3 linked regions of the Astyanax mexicanus genome follow. The protein of the gene in region 2 purifies or fractionates together with the protein of the main gene of each other region. This does not show direct contact. Links are inferred from orthologs where the notes say so. Each region holds a gene or a part of one and is shown on either strand. Other genes may lie near its edges.

The links. The genes of interacting proteins can lie anywhere in the genome.
Region 1: the proteins of hnrnpd (region 2) and heterogeneous nuclear ribonucleoprotein R purify together in Homo sapiens (affinity purification with mass spectrometry; 4 studies listed by BioGRID and IntAct, with this or other methods). This does not show direct contact. The link is inferred for Astyanax mexicanus from reciprocal best matches to the Homo sapiens genes HNRNPD and HNRNPR.
Region 3: the proteins of hnrnpd (region 2) and hnrnpub purify together in Homo sapiens (affinity purification with mass spectrometry; 4 studies listed by BioGRID and IntAct, with this or other methods). This does not show direct contact. The link is inferred for Astyanax mexicanus from reciprocal best matches to the Homo sapiens genes HNRNPD and HNRNPU.

Annotation. Positions count from the first base shown.
Region 1 is NC_064409.1:73,208,148-73,211,899, reverse strand, and holds the start of heterogeneous nuclear ribonucleoprotein R, read right to left. Parts: upstream 2,259-3,752; 5' UTR 2,054-2,258; intron 544-2,053; exon of another isoform or gene 541-543; 5' UTR 540-540; coding exon 386-539; intron 191-385; coding exon 72-190; intron 1-71. UniProt on the Homo sapiens protein: Component of ribonucleosomes, which are complexes of at least 20 other different heterogeneous nuclear ribonucleoproteins (hnRNP). hnRNP play an important role in processing of precursor mRNA in the nucleus.
Region 2 is NC_064427.1:26,840,325-26,844,076, reverse strand, and holds the start of hnrnpd (heterogeneous nuclear ribonucleoprotein D0), read left to right. Parts: upstream 1-937; 5' UTR 938-1,174; coding exon 1,175-1,323; intron 1,324-3,145; coding exon 3,146-3,314; intron 3,315-3,752. UniProt on the Homo sapiens protein: Binds with high affinity to RNA molecules that contain AU-rich elements (AREs) found within the 3'-UTR of many proto-oncogenes and cytokine mRNAs.
Region 3 is NC_064408.1:59,825,264-59,829,015, reverse strand, and holds the start of hnrnpub (heterogeneous nuclear ribonucleoprotein Ub), read left to right. Parts: upstream 1-1,036; 5' UTR 1,037-1,203; coding exon 1,204-1,654; intron 1,655-2,989; coding exon 2,990-3,104; intron 3,105-3,752. UniProt on the Homo sapiens protein: DNA- and RNA-binding protein involved in several cellular processes such as nuclear chromatin organization, telomere-length regulation, transcription, mRNA alternative splicing and stability, Xist-mediated transcriptional silencing and mitotic cell progression.

The DNA.
Region 1 (3,752 bases), on a different chromosome or scaffold from region 2:
ATTTAACTAGTTTTAATACAATTATCTGCTTTAGACAGAATAAGTGAGCTTTATATCCAAGAAGGTCTCACCTGCACATGGGACAAGTCGCTTTCCTTAAACTGCTGCAGTACAGACAGCGCTCCTTCTTCATTAAACTCCCGCAGGGCATCAATTGCCCTCTCATCTAGGTCAGCATAAGCCACCAAACCTGCAGCACACAAACATACACTCAATAAACTTGCACCCAGTAGACTTTAAGACCAAGCAGATTTGTTGCAATAATATGTTTATCACTCTGGCTAGTTTGAATAAGGTGTCAAGACCGCTTGCAACAATATTTTCTTAAACTGATCATATCTATAGCGCAAAACATTACACATATATATTGTATTGGAGAACTTACCAGTCTGAAAGATGTTGTCCAGACTCTCTGCTACTTTTTGGGGCAGCCCAGCATCTATGAGCGTCTGGTAGTTCTCTGAGTGTCCGGCTGAGACATCCATGGGTTCTTCTTCCTCCTTTGCTGGAGCAGAGCTGCCATTCACTTCAGCAGCCATTCTTCTGAGAAAGAGACAAAACAGCATAAGCTACAATTAACATTTGAAATGAACCTTAAAATTTCCTCAGCCAAGAGAAATCTGAACTGTGATATATTTGGAGTTGTGATTGCCTCTTTAAATAAAGAAAAAATATGTAACCCCAACCCTCCTTGCAGATTTTCTTTACATTATAAAACATGCAAAACCAAAGTACTAGAAAATATTAGGAAGCTACCTACTCAACAATAATATAACCTTCAGTTATGCTATTTATGAATATACATAAAGTAGCCCCCACCACCACCACAAAGTAGCAAATAGTATAAAGCAGTGGTTCCCTCATTCAAATCAGAATAAGGACATATTAGCAAATTTAGATTTAGCAGGACAACTCGAGGCAAAAAAGCCACACTTATTTTTACACAATTTAAACTTAAAATCACACCAGCAATACAACAAGCAGTTAATTAAGAGCAATAACTTGGTTATTTCGTTTTACCAGTAAAAACTCTGCTATAGTGTGGTTTTTTTTACAAGTAACATTTAAACTTTCTGTTGCTCTATAGTGCAGGAAGAACTTATTTTGCCTCACACATTTCAGTCAATAAACAAGCGATTGTTTTGTATTATTACTTCTTGGAACATGCTGAACACTATCTAACTACAACGTGAAGGTTCAACGGGACCAGGTTGGTAACTATATAGTACATGCAGCTAGGATAGCTAACAAACTACCTAAATTTATGTAAGACATAAGGAGAAAAAAGTGATTCCGATATGATAGAACTAGATAATTAGGACGTTTACAAAATAATATCAAACTGTGAGAAACATGTGATCATATTTAGCTAATTAAACAAGCTGTGTGAGCAGTTGTGACCTGCTTTTGTTCATTGTTGAAATGCACACCACAGGCTGGAGGTAGGAGCTAAGCTTAAAGCTAAACAGCTAAGCTGTGAATGAAAACGGGTAACGTTATTATTTTAAAAGCGGGCTCTAATAACCTTTCAAAGTGTACGGAAACACAAAGTCTACAATGTTACACACTCAATTACACTCATGGAAGTTAGCTAACAGCCCAAAATGACATACTATGAGCTTGTGTTTATTTGCTAGCGCTAGGTAGCTGCGCTGTTGTGTTAAACTAGCAAGGCTAGGCTAAGCTAGTTAGCTCTCAAGCTAAACACACAACAGCGCTCCGCCCCCCTCGCGTGCTCCGGTTAAAACGAACTAAACAAAATCCGCTAAAATCAACTTTTGCGCAGCGTTAGCTTCTTTAAATCCGCTTATAAACGCGTTTAAACGCGTTATAGACCCAAATTTGCCGCACACGACCGAGTTTAATGTCCATTTAACAAACCGCGACCGGTCTAACCGCGGCTAGGCTAGACTAAGCTAAGCTAAGCTAGCAGAGAAAACAGGTTAAGCCCGGTTAGCTGTAGAATATTAGCATTAGCCGCGGCCTACCGCAGAATTCAAACCCCGCCGCCCGCCAAAATAATAAAACGCTAAAATCCGCCTCCGGGCCTCACCGTTCGGTTCGGTTCTGGTGTGGGTTCTCCTGCGAGGGCGGCTCCTCCAACCCGCGGCCGTGCTGCTGCTGCTGTGGGCGCTGGAAGCGGCGGTTAGAAGAGCGGAGCGAGGGGAGCTGCTGAGGGCTCTGTCCACGAGACAGACAGACGTGCGCGCGCTCTCTCACACACACACAGGCACGCGCACACACAGACACACAGAGAGCGCTCGCCACTTCCTCGCGCGCCGGCAGAGAGCCGCTTGCGTCAGAGGGCGCGCGCACGTCAGAGAAGGGGGGGGGGGGGGCATGGCTTCAAAGAGATCTTTTAGTATTAATGAAAAAGCAATGTAATGTAATGTAATGTAATTTTTAACATTGAATACAAAATCTCGTAGAGGTGCAATGTACAGTGCAATAGGGTAAATAGTATTCAGGGGTAATTTGAAACAAAAAAGTGCAACTATGAACTTGAGATTTAAAAAAAAATAGAGCTAGGGCAAATATAAACACAGAGGTGTGTATGAAGAACTAAACAATTTCAGATCAGTAACAGAAATCAAACCAAATTCAGCTGCAGATTTACTTGACTATTTTTCTATACTTTCTATTACAGTTACAATTATGATTTTCAGTAATATTCCTTATCAAACCTGAAACCTTTTTATATAATGCTTGAATAGAAATCCTCAAGATTTAGAGATTTTTTTTTAAATAACTAAAAGAAATATCAAAAAACATGGGGCTTTAAATAATGTACATACAAGAGTCTAAGGCAAATAAAGAAAAGAGGAGCAAATATTTAAACAAAAGTATTTTTGCAACAGGGGCCTTTTTTGAGAAAAGCTGAAGACATCTCTAGATCTGTTTATCCTGCTTTAACCCTTAATGCTCCTGATTCTACATGTAAGCTTATTTTTTTGGAAGAATAAGCAACACCAGCTTAAAAAAGACATTCTTTCAGGATTAAGAACAGAAGGAGGATTTGAACAATTTTCTGACCTTAACTACATTTTTTTAATAAAATGGCTCATGAAATGCTTAGATAACCCAAGTTCTTGCTGGTATTTTATACCACACAATATTTTCTTTGAAGTTTGGGGGTTTTAATTCCTGTTATCATGCAATTATTAATTTACTAACGCTACTATGTTTACATTACCAGGCTGAAGTGACTCAAATCAGATTTAGCTCAATGTGGCTCAGATCAGATTTTTTTATGGCTGTGTGAATGTGCCAAATTAGATTTTTTAAATCAGATTTGAGTCACTTTCATATGTGCTCCTAAATGGGATATATATCTGATCCATGGACATCTCCACAGTCTTTTTGTTGCTTACATTTATTTGTTACAAAATTATGTGTAAATTGAATTACTAATGTAAAAAAAAGGAATTAATAAAAATATGGAACAGAAAATACGAAACGGAAAATACATTATTCAGTGGTATAAAAAAGTTTGGGCACCCCTGATATTTTCATGATTTACCTTTATAAAACATTGGTTGTTCCAATTTTGTTTAAATGATTATTGGACACTTTCTGTAAATCCTATAAACTTCATTTCACTTCTCAAATATCACTGTGTTCATCTGCTATATGATATATTTCACAAAAATTACTGATCAGAACAACCAATGATTTATACAGAAAATTATTATTATTATTTATATGTAGGGCTGAATAAATATGCATAAATATACATCTATATATATGTATCC
Region 2 (3,752 bases):
TGTGTTTCTTACAGCACTGCGCATGCGCGGACCAGCACTTTATTTTTTTAATGCATTTTTGTGCATTAAATATATCTGCTTGAATTTTAAAAAGCATTTCACATGGCAGTTGATAATAATAAAACGTATACATACAAATACTAATCTTAATTAAATTGCATTAACTTTACCCTGATACATTAATGTAGGCTTTCTAAATATACCTAATATGATACTTTTTTAAAAATAAACATATTTTAATTTATTTTTATCCAAATATGCAATGATGCAACACCTTTTCTTCTTTTCTTACTTTTTTTCGTAGCTTTTTTATATTTTTTATTTTATCTATTTTTGTGTCTACTGTAATGATGCTGCTGGAAAATTTATTTCGCAGAGGGAACCCTCCCAAAGCCATCAATAAAAATCTACCCCTCCATCTATGTATCTATCTACAGCTCTAGAAAAAGTTAAGAGACCACTTCAGTTTCTAAATCAGTTTCTCTGATTTTGCTATTTATAAGTATATATTTGAGTAAAATTAACATAGTTGTTTTTTTTTTTCGTTAAACTACGGACAATATGTCTCCCAAATTCCAAATAAAAATACTGTCATTTAGATCATTTATTTGCAGAAAATGAGAAATGGCTGAAATAACAAAAATATGCAGAGCTTTCAGATCCTAAATAATTCAAAGTTCATATCGTTCATAACGTTTTAAGAGTTCAGAAATCAATATTTGGTGGAATAACCCTGGTTTTATTGTATTTTCTTGGAATGTTCTCCTCGACCAGTTTTTATGCCACTCTTGTTCAAGCAGTTCAGCTTGGTTTAATGGCTTGTGATCATCCAGCTTCATAATTTGGTAAAATCAAAGAAACTTATCATTTTGAAGTGGTCTCTTATTTTTTCCAGAGCTGTATATACAGTACACACTAGGGTAGCACGGTTTGGCGGGGTAACACAATTCGTCAGGACACCGGTGTGTGGCAACGAGGAGTTGACAGCTGGCAAAACCGATCAACTATAGGTTAGCTAGGCTACATTCCTGCCGGGATTTAAATCAGTTTTTATTATTTTCTAAGAGAGTAGATGCAAATCTGTGTTAGCTGAGTTTGCTGGTGATTAGTATAGAAGCAGGTTAGCAGAAACATTAGTAGTTAGTTGCCAGATTCCCGTAGAAAACGACCAAACATGTCGGAGGAGCTGTTTGGCCTGGAAGACCCGAGTATGAAGATGGAGGAGGACGGGGAGGGGGGTGGAGAAGAACAGATACATGCCGGTGTATCAGGAGACGCTGAAGGATCGAAGATTGATGCCAGTAAAAATGAGGAGGATGAAGGGTAAGAAGTGGGGCTCATGATAGAGGTGGTGGAGAAGCCTGAGCTTTGTATGGTGGCTGAGCATGTAGGCTAGCTATAGCTAGTTAACGCTAGCTATCTGCCTAATAATAGCTAATAATATGACATTTATTCTTAAATAATTAGAAATATCTGTACTTTAAAGTCTGTATTTGCATCTTAAGCCTCTCTTTGGGGTGTGTATGCGATTATATCTGAGCCAGTTGTCATTTTAGCTAAAAAAAAAAAAAAAAAAAAAAGATAGTAAAAAAAAATGTTCCAGAAAGTGAAAAATCTGCTCCAGGATTTTTTTTATAGTCCAGCTACATTTGCAAGCTAATTATTCGGTACTTACTGTAAATTTAGTATTAGAGATTAAATATATCAGTACTTAAAAGTCTTTATTTTTACTACAAACCTCTACAAAGAGTCTCGGTGTGCTTATACAGCCACTTGTCCAACCAAAGCTGTTAAACCAGTCCACCAGTCAACCAGTCTCACTTTTCCCAAAAAGTGAAAATCTACTCCAGGATTTTGCTCCAACTGCCTGGTCAGCCCTGCAGAATTCGTTTCCGTTGCAGCAGGGCTGCCCTAGTTAGAACAAAATCCCGGAAAGGATCTTTACTTTCTGGAACTGGATTGTCCACATTGCATTCATTGCAAAGCTAGATAGCGAATGCTAGCAAGTTTCTACCCAATGAAACGAATTATTATTAATTTAATGCGTATATTGTGTATATATTTGCAAACTATCCCCCACAAACTCTGTTAAACAGCGTCGTTAATAATGGGAAAACTTTTATATAACGTTAATTAGCAGGAAAGTAATTAACTAAAGCTAGTTAACTAAGCTAACGTTAGTTAGCTTTATTTTACCGGCGTTGGAAACGCCAGTGAAGTCGTTGCTAAAACACAGGCGCAGCTAGATAACCTAATCTCTGCATTACACGCTATGATAATTAGATTTTTTACACGGGTTTTTTTTTTTTGCAAAAATGCGTAAATGTAGGCTAATTTGACCAGTCTGAATTTACGCCTGAATTTCAAGCTATTTTTACTTTTTTAATTTATTTGTTATTTGTTAATAACGCAAACTTAGATTAAAACATTTCATTGACAGACACGTTTTATTTTGTTTTGTGAATTTTGTGTTTCTCATATATAATAAAACCATAATGTCTGTTACTATGTGTCCTGTTTTGCTGTTTTTGGATGATTAAATTTCCTCTTTCCTCTGGGATTTGGCTTTTAGTTTATGTTGAAATTTGCTCTCCTTACAGTCAGCCTTGTGCAATCTTTCTTTTTATCTGTGGTCATTAAAAAAAAGGACAAAGAAGAAGAAACAAACATTTCACTCTATTCTTGCACCCTATTCTTCTTTTGGACACAAAAAATACCTTATTTTTTATTTAAATGTTGGAAACATAATAATGTATGCATAGTGTTAAGTTTTTGGTTATACATGGTTTTTTATTGTTTTTTTTTATTATTGTATTTTTATTTTAATTGTGAGGGTCTAGGCACCAAAGATGTTCACTTTTACACCTGTGTTAATGTCATTTAGCAATGAACCTGATTTAATTTGACTTGACAGGCTTGTAAATAAGTGGTTAAACATTTTATTTACACTTTTTTTTTTTTACACATAATTAGCTTTTTTTTTACAGCACTGACAGAATAAGAGTAGCATAACTGTGTATCCCCTTTCTCAATCACCTAAAGTTAAAGAAAATAAAATTGAAATAGCTTAAAGGCCTGCCTCCCCTATTAAAAGTATATTAATATGGAAACAGCATTTGCCATATTCTCTTTTGTCTTTTTACAGGAAGATGTTTGTTGGAGGGTTGAGCTGGGACACAACAAAGAAGGACCTTAAAGATTACTTCTCCAAGTTTGGGGAGGTTGTAGACTGCACTTTAAAACTAGATCCTATGACTGGACGATCCAGAGGCTTTGGCTTTGTGCTGTTTAAAGAGGCTGAAAGCGTGGAAAAGGTAGTGTCCTTTGTTATGCTCTTACTCATATTTTGGTCATTCTAGACCAGGGGTTACTGTTCTTTTCTGCAAGGGGTTGGAGTGGTGGCAGGTTTCTAGGGTTTAAACAATACTAAAGAACACCTCATTTAACTCTTCTCAGTAGCTAAACTGATGAAATCTGTAGAAATGGTGACCCCTTTTGCAGATCTGTAGAGCTCTAAAGCACTCAAGCCACGAAATTAACATATAACTTTATGGCCCTTTAAAGAGAGCAAACCACATTAAGTGAAGAACTAGGGCACATTGCAGTAACTGGAAAATATATTTTTTTATTTTTGTAGCTACAGACAGCCATTGTGGGCATCCGTATCAATTTTTATGTAGCGTTTATCGATATTGGGATTATATATTTGTAATAAAAATGACCAAATAAATATTTCTGTGTGCAATGTGACA
Region 3 (3,752 bases), on a different chromosome or scaffold from region 2:
TAGGGAAACATGGCCCTAAAAATAATGTTACAATAATTCAGAGTGTTTCTGTGATATGTGCTACTACAACAATAAAATTAGCTACCAAAATACTACTGTGGAGAATATTTTGTGCATGCGCATAAACTGCAAACATAAAAATATATAAAAAATAACATTAAAGTTTTACAGTAAATAGCAAAACAAATACAAAATAGGTTGCTTTTAAGACAGACTAAAGCTAGTTTCACAATATGGATTTTGTCATTGTTTTAAAATTAAGACAATATTATTGTGTATGATAAGACATACCCCTACTGCAGATATAATGTTTATTTTGGTGCTGAATGGTTGAGCAAAATGTGTGTGTGTGTGGAGGTTTTGTCTGTTTTAAGCTTCATTTCTATTTTTTTTTATCTGTTCATTCATTAAAGAAGTAAAAAAAAGAATCCTCTGTACTCATAGACCATGTAGACCATCTTTAACACACACCTACTGCTACTGAATCAGCTTAACTACTGTAATCCCCTCCAAGCCCTAAAATAATGCTACAATACTTCTGCAATATGTGATACTGCAACAAATTAAATGTTAAAGTTTTATTTAGTAAAGAAGTTTTAAACATTCATTAGGATTTTTTTTAAAATAACCATGTTATTAATAGAAACAGTGATTTTGAATTAAATAATGATAATGTTACAAAAGAACTAACCAAAATATCAGCTAAAAATACTACAGTGAATAAATTACACAGGTTGAATGTCACACATTGTCCTTTATCGTTCGCTGAGTGGCCCAGTTACACACAGGTTAATGTAAACGTGTCTAAAGTGAGTTATATTTTATATTGTATGTCACGCAGCTGGTTTTGATTTATTACATACTGATTAATGTGTATGATCTATTAGGTGATTTCATGTCTCCTTGATTTTACGCTCTGTGTGTGTGTGTGTGTGTGTGTGTGTGTAATTGTAATTGTACACTCTGAGCTGATGTCACCTTGGGTGTTACCGCTCCTCCCCCGTTTTCCGGGCGGGAGGGGTTTATGAGGGTAGGCTCCGTCCAGAAGCACCGCGGCTTTGGCGCAGCTGAAGTGAATCCCAGCAGCTCTTTCTGAATCGCCTCGTCCTGAAGAAGAACCATCCGAGAGAGCGCGCGTTCCGCGTTACTGTTTTATACTAGTGAATTCTGTGAGTAATCGTGATTTTTTTTAAGGCTGCAGATATGAGTGCGATTAACGTGAAGAAGCTGAAAGTGAACGAGCTGAAGGACGAGCTGAAGAAGCGCCAGCTTTCAGACAAGGGGCTGAAGGCCGAGCTGATGGACCGGCTGCAGGCCGCGCTCGACGCCGAGGCCCAGGCTGGAGGAGAGCAGGACGGCGAGGAGAACGGGGCCGAGGACAACAGCGCCGAGCTCGAACCGGAGCTGATGGGTGAGGAAGGGGGCGAGAGCATGGAGGCCGACGAGGGGGAGAACGGAGGCGGCGCGGATGAGGAGGCCGCAGCGGCCGACTTCGACGAGCTCGGCCAGGACGACGAAATGGCCGAAGACGAGGAGGACGACGGAGACGCCGCGGTCGACATGGACAAGGCGCTGGAAGACGACGACGAGGATGAAGACGAGGCAGATAAGATCGGTGATGAAGACGGTGAGCAAGAGTCCCAGCCAACAGAGGGTGAGTGCATCAGGAGCCGATTCTGAAGCTCGTAGTTTAACCTAGCCAACCAGCTAATTAATGTCCGCCGGCCGGGACTGCCGCTAACCTAGCAACACTCTGCAGCTTTAGCGCCCTGTAGACTGAGCTAGTAGATAGATAGTTACCGGCTTGTTAGATATTGAGAGGAAAAAAAGCAGGTTCGATTTTAATGAATTATTTAGGTAGTTCGTTGTGTAAGGAGTTTGGTTGGTTTATTTGGTATTTTAGTATCAGTATAGTCGTTTTTGGCTCGAATAGTCAGCTCGTCTGTAGCTTTTGTTTCCTCTCAGCGGTCGTGTGCGAACCCCATCTGTCGTTATTGTTTTATGAGCTAGTCAGGCTAGGCTAGTTAGCGTTAGCCCGTTAGCTAGAGCTGTCCGACCGAAACAATAGGTTGCCGGTTTTTGCAGTACTAGAAATTTAATATTTGGCTACAAAACTGTGCACGAATTGTTTTTTCGCGTTTCTACGTCCAACACGGGGATTAATAGCAGGTTATAGGGTCTTTTGTTAGCCTCTCCGATATATTTCGGTTAGAGGGTAACGTTATCCGGCGGGCCGCGCGGGTTAGCTAACTAGGCCCTGGCGCTGCTGCGACGAGCGATCTCCACGAATCCGTATGTAACATAACGTTAATACGATCTTATATAGCTAGCTAGAAAGCTAAAGCTAAACTCAAGGTAATGTGGTGATTTAGTGGCTATTGTTTAATTATTTAACCCGAGCAGGGAATTGTTCGTTTTAATTTGGGTTTTTGTAGCTTAGCATAGTCTGAAGTGGCTTAGCCGGGGCCGTGAAGGAGCTGGCTGTATTAGCAGAGTTAAGCTAACTGCTAATTTGTAATGAAGCAAGAAGGTCAAGAATCGTTTACTGTGAGTTACGTTAACTAGTTAGGTTAGGTTAATGGCTGTGCCGTTTTTGTGGCCGTCGAAGTTGATTTTATCTAGTTTAATGTGTCCCCACACATATTTGATCGTGTTCATTCAGCAGTATGAGTAAAAGGGACTAGCGTAGCTAAATATAAGCTGCTGTTCATCCTCATCACTCACATGTGAAGAAGAGACACGTTAAGATCTCACATTTGGTTCATTCTCCCCGAATGGGCCAGTTAACAGTAGTACACACAGCATGAATGCACATCTTTTTATACATTTTTATATTATTTTAAATACATATTCTGTCTGATCAGAGGTGGTCAACTTGAGTGTAACTGGGGCGGGAGGAGTCCGAGAACTCCTAGTCGTGTGGGACCACCCTTAAAACCAGGGTCCAACACGCACGAGCATTTCATCACTCTTTGTTTTATTTCCAAAGGAGATGCGGACAAAGACAACAATGCTGATCAGAAGAATAAGAAGGGTGTTAAGAGACGCCGGGAGGAACATGGAAGGGGCTACTTTGAATTTATTGAAGAAAGCAAATACAGCCGGTAAGGATGGGAGTAATGGCCTTCGTCATCCCAGAAGTGCCACTTTTAATATGTATTGGCTTTAAGAGCCAATGCTTTACTTGTAGGAAAAACACCCTCACATGTCTCTTTTAATAAAGTGTAAGCCAGTTGAGGGTCATCCTTGGCTCATAAAACCTTACCTTGCAGTGCTTTTGTATCCTTCTGAACAGGCTGCAAACTCAAGACATTGATCAGATGTGTAACCTCTAGTCTCAATCATCATGACTTGTCATTGTTCCTCACACACTGTTTTGGCAGTTGTACGCGCGTATGGCTGTGAAAGCATCCCTTTGGCTCAAAGGGACAACAGGAGAGTAGCAGCTGTCTCATGACGGTGGGGTGGGCAGTGGGCGTTTATGTTCAGACCTGCAGCGTGTCATATAGCCGATCACATGTTTTTGGGGGGCGATTAGGTGTTGTATTCTGATAATGACCCAGTGTGGGAGAAGATGATCGGGAAGGGATGGTCGGGGCATTGTTTCAGCGTTCACTCGTGCCTTTTGTTTGCATGCTGCATTTAGCTTGTCTTCTCTGAATAAATGTTTTCTTGCAGGATTTTTTTTTGCTGTTCAGGAACGTGTGCTGCGGTCTTCCATTTCTTGTTTTTGGTGTTTTTTTTATTTTGTT